Linked DNA regions of Bombyx mori. The protein of the gene in region 2 purifies or fractionates together with the protein of the main gene of each other region. This does not show direct contact. Links are inferred from orthologs where the notes say so. Each region holds a gene or a part of one and is shown on either strand. Other genes may lie near its edges.

The links.
Region 1: the proteins of actin nucleation-promoting factor WASL (region 2) and cdc42 homolog purify together in Drosophila melanogaster (affinity purification with western blotting; 3 studies listed by BioGRID). This does not show direct contact. The link is inferred for Bombyx mori from reciprocal best matches to the Drosophila melanogaster genes WASp and Cdc42.

Annotation. Positions count from the first base shown.
Region 1 is NC_085107.1:13,964,394-13,968,945, reverse strand, and holds the start of cdc42 homolog, read left to right. Parts: upstream 1-1,692; 5' UTR 1,693-1,841; intron 1,842-2,046; exon of another isoform or gene 2,047-2,243; intron 2,244-3,635; exon of another isoform or gene 3,636-3,705; intron 3,706-3,801; coding exon of another isoform or gene 3,802-4,179; intron 4,180-4,552. Other genes in the region: uncharacterized protein LOC134199721, read left to right, coding at 3,802-4,179. UniProt on the Drosophila melanogaster protein: Regulates mbt kinase activity and is also required to recruit mbt to adherens junctions. Together with mbt and Frl, regulates photoreceptor cell morphogenesis. Together with Frl, has a role in the neuronal development of mushroom bodies.
Region 2 is NC_085121.1:15,494,871-15,499,179, reverse strand, and holds the start of actin nucleation-promoting factor WASL, read right to left. Parts: upstream 2,936-4,309; 5' UTR 2,617-2,935; coding exon 2,530-2,616; intron 237-2,529; coding exon 9-236; intron 1-8.

The DNA.
Region 1 (4,552 bases), on a different chromosome or scaffold from region 2:
TATATGATTTATAGTTTTTATTAGATAAGAAAAAAAAAACCATATAGATACATACATATTTTTATATTTATAAATTCATTCACTTTTTTAAAAATAACATACTTATCTCCTAGCCACTCGTGAAAATTTATTTCGCCTTCTGTTGTGTTGGCAGAGAAGTCTGGAAAAGTTTTTCCAAGTAAAAGCATGTTAAAAAATTTATTTTAAAAATATTTTTCTTAGTGTGTTTTGTGTTTTTTTTTTAAGGCAAATCACTCAATATTATAAATCAAATTATACGTCAGTTAAACGCTCAATTCAAATACAATACACTAAATATACATCTATGCTTGTTTTTTAAATGGAGTACAAGTATTCTTCTTTTATTTTTATTGCCTGCCAGATTTTCAAAAGAGGTGACAAAAATGATTCTTGACATTAAGAAAGTACGTCAAATTTTTTTTAGTCGATTTTATAGTGCGCAATTTATTCTATGAACGATGTAACAGCATTTTATTGCATAATACTAATTGCCAACTACTATTTCACAACGAAAATTGGTATATGATTAAATGAGTATGTGACATAGATTGTACGATTTACCTAATTGTTACAAATATTCAATGTTATTTTTTGTTATGGATTTATTTGCTCCAACAATCATTATCAAACTTCACAGTGAATATCAATAAATTAGTTTCGTTTTTGCACATCCGATTTTTATGTTGGTCTGTAGGCTACTTTTTTCGTACCAATACTTATAGCCTTGAGAAGCTATATTAGCGTTACCCTTGCGTGTAGGTGAGCTCTTGGGGCTCTAATAAGGAAGTTGCTAGCACTGTCCCTAGCAAGAGCAGTGCTTCGCAGAGTCTACCACCGAATTGGAAACACGACCCATTGAGAAGATCCAGCGACGAGCTTAGTGGTCTGTGTCTGTGGGTTAATTTACTCGCCGAGCACGGCGTTGCAAGCGATGGGTTCAGTGGGAACGGTGACTGGTGCTTAAGGTACCTAAAAGAACCGTTTGTATCGGGAGGATCCGTAATTACGTGTTTAGGGCAAGGAGGCTTCGTTAATCACTTAACTACTACTACTACTGAGCTGGCGCTATGACCCCGAAGTGGGTCTCGGCCTCCGACAATAAACTTTGCCATTCATCCCGGCGCTGCGCAACATCTTGCCAGTCCGACACTTGGAGCTCCCGTAAATTTCCTTCCACAGCGTCATCATCACTTAACCCGTCTATTTAATTTAAAGTATAGATAAATATTTGATATTACTTAAATTACGCAATGATTACATCAAATTACTAAAGCATTTATTTCAGTAAGTATTTAAAGGATAGCTACTTTCTGATAACTACAGGTGAGAATTTTCGTTGTCCTATACTTTGTAGAGCTCAAATGATTGACCCTCCAAAACTTTACTTATATCAGTGTTAATTAAGTACACTCTGATTCTTATTGAATCATATCAACGGCCTCGGATCATGGAACACGTACCTACTTAAATAATTATGTACGCCTTCCATTTATGTGTAGTATATGATTATAATAGTTTTAAAGAAGCATATGTTTTAGATTTAAAACAAATATTGAAATTAACTCAGCAATTCGTTTAAAATAAATATTTTATTTCCATTTTGTTAATATTTTTTTACTAAAGGTACGATAAAATCGATTCTCTGACTGTTGACATTCGGACCATAGACAAATTTCTAGGCATTTACTGCTCTATTCAATCAATGGCGTCACACCGTCAATGACCCAACCCGCTACTTGGAGACTGTAACATTCAACATTTCCTATTTACAACGTGGTGTTATTGTATTCATTTGAAATATTTATTATCTTCGTAATTAGGTAAGTGTGTAATGAAATGAAATTGATTACAAATAAGGTAAAAACACCATATTAGTGGTTGTTGTCGAGCACAACACAAAATGGACGTCAAAATTATTGTGACGTGATTATGTAAAAAAAAGCAAAAATACTTCAAATATTTCTAGAAAGTTATCGTTTTTTTTAACACTATACCTATCGCTTTAATTTCATTCTCCGTAGCCATTGAATACTTATACTCAAATAGTACCACGGGACTGAAAGGTAACAGGAACTCGGAGGCACTTGTCTTGCGGACGACAAACACACCCTGTTGGCTGTTATCGGTCGCTCGGCTACAATACTATCTCAGGAAATAGTTCTTTGTTTTGTGCTCGAAATGTTCTTTAAAAGCAGTTTTCTTTTAATTCGACCCTTTTAAAGGTCAATGCCCTTTGAATGTGTTCCTATTTTGTAGTGTGCTTGGCATTTCATTTGCTATGCGACGTATGAGACCCTGATTATCGCCGAGTCGGAATGCAGTTTGTGTAATGCACTTAAAGCTAATTAGTATGGGTGTCGATCGCTTTTGTTTTTAACTATTAACATTTTTAAATATATTTTTTTCCTCCTAAATAACTGTATTTTTGTTGGGCTTCTAATAACAATTCGTGAATTAGTTGAAGATTTGGAAAAAGTCAGTAATAACATTCAGGTCAAGGACTGCTAGATTTAAAATAAAAAATGGTAAATTATTTAAATCAATTGTTGATTTCAACTTAACAGTTGTAGAATTGACTGTATTCTACCCAAGGAGCTTATTTCAGTTGTCAATTAAAAAGATTTCTTAATGCAATAATGAATTAAGAGTGACTGGATATTAGAATGCAGCTTAGGAGGATAATGGTATCTTTACAATGATTAAAAATAGTTTTAACTTCTCATAATATTAAACTATGAACCAGTGTATCCCAATACATGGAATAAACAACATTACTCATCTTCATTTTCTCATGATTTATTCTCCTCAATTTTTTTATATTAAAACCTTTATAAGGTATATTTAAAGTTATATTTAAAGGCTTAACATATTACCAGGTTACTGTTTAGCTATACATATATTCAGTCGTACTATTATATTCAATAAAGTAAAAGTAAGACAAATATTTTATTTTACTGTTATCACCAAAACAACAGTAATACTTGCCTAAGCGAAATTTCTCAATGTGGATCATAAAATAACTTAACACAGTGAAATCATTAGTTGAATCAAAATGTTCATAATACCATTAATAGTAATCACAATGTATAGATATTTTTACCCATTTTGAAAGATAATATTTGAAACTGCTACATTTTAAATCAGATAATGTTAATGTCTAGGTAGTTGTAGGATGAATGGTGATAACAGGGAGTATGAGCTCCAAGCTGTATCATTGGCATAATCATAAACCATGTGTATATTAATTTTTATTAATACAAAATATGTAGAAGTTGACTTGACATTTAGTTCAACTTTGAATAACAGTATACGACCTTCATATCGCTGGATCTATTAATTTAATTTTGAATAATCTATTTTATCATTCTTAGTTAATAATGTGTGGGTGTGGGTATTTATTAGAAACATTGCATCACATGCTTAATAGTAATATTTTATTTTAATTCTGTTAAAAAGAAAATTATAAACTAAGCAAGTTTGTCTGTAACATGATTTTGTTTACAATACAATTTCTACAGTGGAATTTATGCTCGCAATCATAAAAAGAGTATGTAGGTATGTAGTAATAATATATGTATAAGGCTTGCAACTAAGTTCTCGCTGTTTCTCAATAGATGGCTGCAGCAGTAAGTGCTGGTCGATTTTGATAGATCAAATATATTGTGAACCAAGCTTAGACAGATGGTAAATAAAAGAAACATTAAATTTATTGAAAATTATGTTGTTACATATACTTTTGGTTGTGTGAAACTGTCTGATTTTATAACAAATAAGTATCATATGCGGGAAGTGTTTCTTTTCTTCTTTCATTTGAAAAATACGCTGGATGAAGCTCTTCGAGAACTACAAAAAGTTTATGGCAATGCTGCTTTAAGCGAAACTATATGCTGTGATTGGTTCAGTCAGTTCATAGACAGTGGTTTCGATATTGATGACTGTCAAAGTAAAGGAAAGCTAAATTCAACGAAGTCGCTGTCTTCAAATTTGTATCTGATTGAATCAGTGGCTGATGCAAAATCCGCTAGCCTCAGCATAAGCAGTTGCTCACAAAGTCATTTACAAGTTATCACATCTATTGAAAGTATTTCAAAAGCAAGGAGCCTGGATTCCTTATTAGTTAAAGTCAAAATGTTACAAAAAGAAGAGTTATATTCATAGCATTAGCCTGCACAGTTCGGCTGTATACTCAGACTGTGACGATTGTGCTGTGTACTTGGTGGGACCAGGTCAGGAGTATTTATTTTGAGCAGTTGAAACCAAATTGAAACGACCCATAGGGAATGACACCAAACTCAATTAATGTGATATAGCGCTGCACAAAATATGGACATAATATGACATGATATAGTGATTCCCCTGTATGACATCATTAGGCCTCACCTTGCCAAATCCATTTAAACTTACTTTGAAACACTCAAATGGGGTGTCTTACTCTGCCACTGTATACCCCAGATATTCCACCATCCGATTTATATTTATAATTTATTAATTTATTATTCTACTATTACATTAATTTATGCCTATTTTGAAA
Region 2 (4,309 bases):
AAGCTTACCTCAGCTTCGAAAGTGTGTAAATAAGGCCTTGGGTTCTTATATTCTATCTGCATATAAACTTCGTGCTCCCATATCATTGCTTTTCGGTACAAACAGTAAATCCTGAAGAAGTATGAGCGCTTGCCATTGTCCTTTATAAGGCACAGTACACCAGTATCTCTCTTCTTCCATTCAGAATGTGCTGGACCTTCAGTTGTGAAGAGTTGAACAACTGTAGTTGCTAGACTCTGAAAACATTTTAAATTTTTAAATTATGTGTTGCTTGTGATGACTATGAAAGAGAGGGTCTTTCATCAGGCAAGTTTATTTTCCAGACAGCGGCCCGCAACATATGTCTAAATCAGAAAATAGTTTTGAATATAAATACTATTTTTTGGATACTACAATTCTTTGTCAAAATATAGGTATATTTTTTGGGCAATTCTCGGAAAGTATGTAGGCTTACTGGTGGTAGGACCTCTTGTGAGTCCGCGCGGGTGGGTGCCACCGCCCTGCCTATTTCTGCCGTGAAGCAGTAATGCGTTTCGGTTTGAAGGGTGGGGCAGCCACTGTAACTATACTGAGACCTTAGAACTTATATCTCAAGGTGGGTGGCGCATTTACGTTGTGGATGTCTATGGGCTCCAGTAACCACTTAACACCAGGTGGGCTGTGAGCTCGTCTACCCATCTAAGCAATAAATAAAAAATTGATGATGTGATTCAAATTTTCATTACAAATGCAAATCCTAAATCTGCCTAAAGCTCCCAAAGGGTATCTGATTTCACCAAATGACAGATTATTGTCACTATAGTATCTAGGCATATATGTAAATGGGTATTCTAAGATATTTTTAAGAATAAAAATCTTTATTTCAGTCGCAGATAAAATCCAATGCCGCTGAGGCTTCAATTTTGTTTTTAAAGGTAACAGAAACAAGATTATGGTATATATGTTGCTCCAAGAACTATGTATCGTACCACATTTAGATAATAATAGATAATAGATTTTATATTGAATAACACAATTTTTAGATAATATAATGATTAGAAAAATCTAAAAAGATAATATATAGATAATATATAGACTTTAGATAATATATTGAATAACACAATTCTTTTCTGAATCATTGAGTCAGTGAGTCATAATTATATTGAATCACATAAAAATATGCAAATCAGATACTAGTAATGAGGTGGGAAATATATTTTTATTGATAGTGGCTAACAACAGAGCTGACCCCGTATATTATTGATACAAGTAGTATATGAAGACCCATAGAACAGATGATAATATGGAGGGGTCCAAATGATTTGTGAATTTTTTATGTTTAATGATTTTTCATATATTTCAATAATTTGAAATCGTAGTGGTTTTCTTGTACAATATGGTACAAGATTATTATATTCATGGTTGTACTTGACCATTGTTTAATAAGAGATAAGTTGCGCTTTGAAATTTGTTGACTGATGATTTAATACTTGAAATTGTATAGATAATATTTATACAGACACTCCCAACAAACAATCTTTTTTATATTGGATTTATTAAATTTCTAAACTATAATCCACTACAGTAACATGTGTATGTATATTATGAATATATTGTATAATAGACAAGACATGCAAAACCAGTTGTCGTAATAAATACTTTACTGAGATCTGATATAGTAACAGACTTTCACTGTATGTCTTTATGGGGTGAAATTTCTATCATATGCAGGCTTTGAACACTTTCACGACATGACTGGTCGAAATGCAATTACACTTTTTCTGACTTGTTAAGATGTACTTTTAACTCTTTTTTGATTAGTGTTTTTTTTTTATAATTTAAACTGGGCAGCTAAGAGCACACATGATGTGGAATTATCAGTTTATAGAACTCTCAATATCAACCATAATTGTTTTGCCCCAAATTTTTCACATTAGAAATAGACAGGGACAGTTTCCACTGTTCAGAGGTTCACAAATAGTAAATATACTTTTTATATTATTTGAATTTCGTTTAGATTCTATTACTTTTATTTATTTCAGTGTCTTTCATGATTGTGTGAGAATAGTTTAATTTCAAAAAATTCCCTATCTGTGGGTTTTGAAACCCAATATGTGAGTTAATAATCATTTAGAATTTACGTTAGTTGAATATATAGTTTGTTGTACACAGAAAATATAAAAAAAATATAAAAATTCATTGTTGAAATTTGTATTGACAGTAATTTAATTCCTAAACATTGCTTGGGCCTGAAATGTCAAGCATTGTAGTCGGTCGGTTAAGTTCCGAGGGTTTATCAAAAGCCTTTTATACTATTAAAAAATTAAAAAGATTTGTAATTTTCATTAGATTTAAAACAAGACATTTAACGTTACAAGGAACAAGATAATATCTTAATCAATCATCCAGGCGATAGAATAGGACGCAAACAACTCTATCGTTTAGATAGCATAAGATAATACATTGATAGGGCTATAGATACGTAATCAAGGTGGACTGATTCAACGCGAGCTACTTTCATGAAGGATCTAAAAAGGATGATTAACTCACCTGACATTTTGGTCCTATTAGGCTGAACACCTGTTCGTTCTCCTCGCGTGACAGGAGATTTGTCGTTCTGTGCTCTCCCCTCGGCATCTTGCTTGCCTAACGTAGATATCACACATAAAATCACTATAAACACATGAAAACTGATGTGTCAGCTACAAAAACTCTTCTGCATTTTAATGTTGTTTTGTTCGTTTTATCTAGCCGCTGTTTTTACTGGGCCCATGTAAACATTTCTCATAAAATGGAAACATTCATCTCGAAAACTAAAAGTTCTTAGGAAACCGTTCTGATTTTGCAAATCTTCACTTTCTCCCTCTGTGAGCGTATTAACTTACTGTGCTGTTTGATCTGATTCAATGTGTATAGTGTATAGCATAGATTATACACTTAAGTGTATAGTCTATGGATTTTATTGTGCTCTCGAATATATTAAGTGTATAATCTATGGTGCTCACAGACTATATGCTACGTGTCGAGTTGCCAAGCATTCGCAAATTTGTTTTTATTTACCTACTATGTACACGAACAAAAAATTCCTTAGTGACATCTGTCTCTACACCCCTGATTTTACTTATTTCTTTCCTCCATAACTCAGGGTTAAAAACCGGTTCGTGCATATAAAATTTATTAGCCGATATCTGCGGCATCGGTGACTTGGTCAAGGAAATGTCAATATTTTTTTCTAGTGACACCTAATATTTAATAACGGTGCTAATGCACCAATGGTAACAATGCTAATAACCGCTTAGCATCTGTGAAAGTACCTAATTATAGAAAATTAAGAAAGTACTGTGGCTATTCAAAGTTTTCTAAGAAGTTCACTGAAGTATTAATAACTTCCGAGCATTTTTCTGGAACTTATTCCTTTGAACACGTCTCGTTTCAATCCATTTCATCACAGTAGATTAGGAGGTAAATCAATTTCATTTTTATGTACTACCTATTATTACAATGTGTCAATACACCAGTGAAACTTATGTGGGGTAAAATATGGGAATTTTTAGCGATAAATCACTATCCCAATTTTCTCTTGGCACCTCTATACTAGAATGACAGCCATTTTGTTTTTTTTTTACTTCGCAGTATGGAGGGTAGAGGCACCTCTACTTCGCAACTCAGGCGCCTACAATGATTTAATCATTGCAACATCTACATAATTTATTACTATATAGGTCTATGAATTTATGTGTACTATCTATGATCGATATAGACATATTAGGAATATGGAGGGTAGAGGTAAGGAGAACCGTCTCTGTGTGTGAAAAAGTGTCCGTTAAAACTGACTAAATAAGGGTGGCGCTACAGTAGCAACCGGGTAAATTTTAAAAAAGGCCCTGAAAGTTATTAGAATAAGATAGAGAAATAAAAAAGGACGAAAGACCTGTAAGCACTACAAAATCACAAAAAGTATATTATTTAAAGCTGATAAGAAAATGCAATCGATGTCTCCACCTTTTACCACAGCAATAATTTTAGGTTATATTGACGAAATTAGTTTGGACTACGTAAACTTGTGTATTACACTGTCACTAACTACAAATATATTAAATTTCCTAACTCAGCATACTTCAATCAGTTAAAAACTGCTCAATTCATATCATACCCTGTGCCTATGCTAGCGCCATTCTGGAGGATTTTTGAACTGTTAGTTATTGCTGAAAGTGCGACACTTTTTCAAGCTTCTTCCATATGAGACGGTTCTCCTTACCTCTACCCTCCATAATTAGGAAGACGAAAGAGGTGTCATTTGAAAGCTAACGATGTAGACAATAAATTTTTT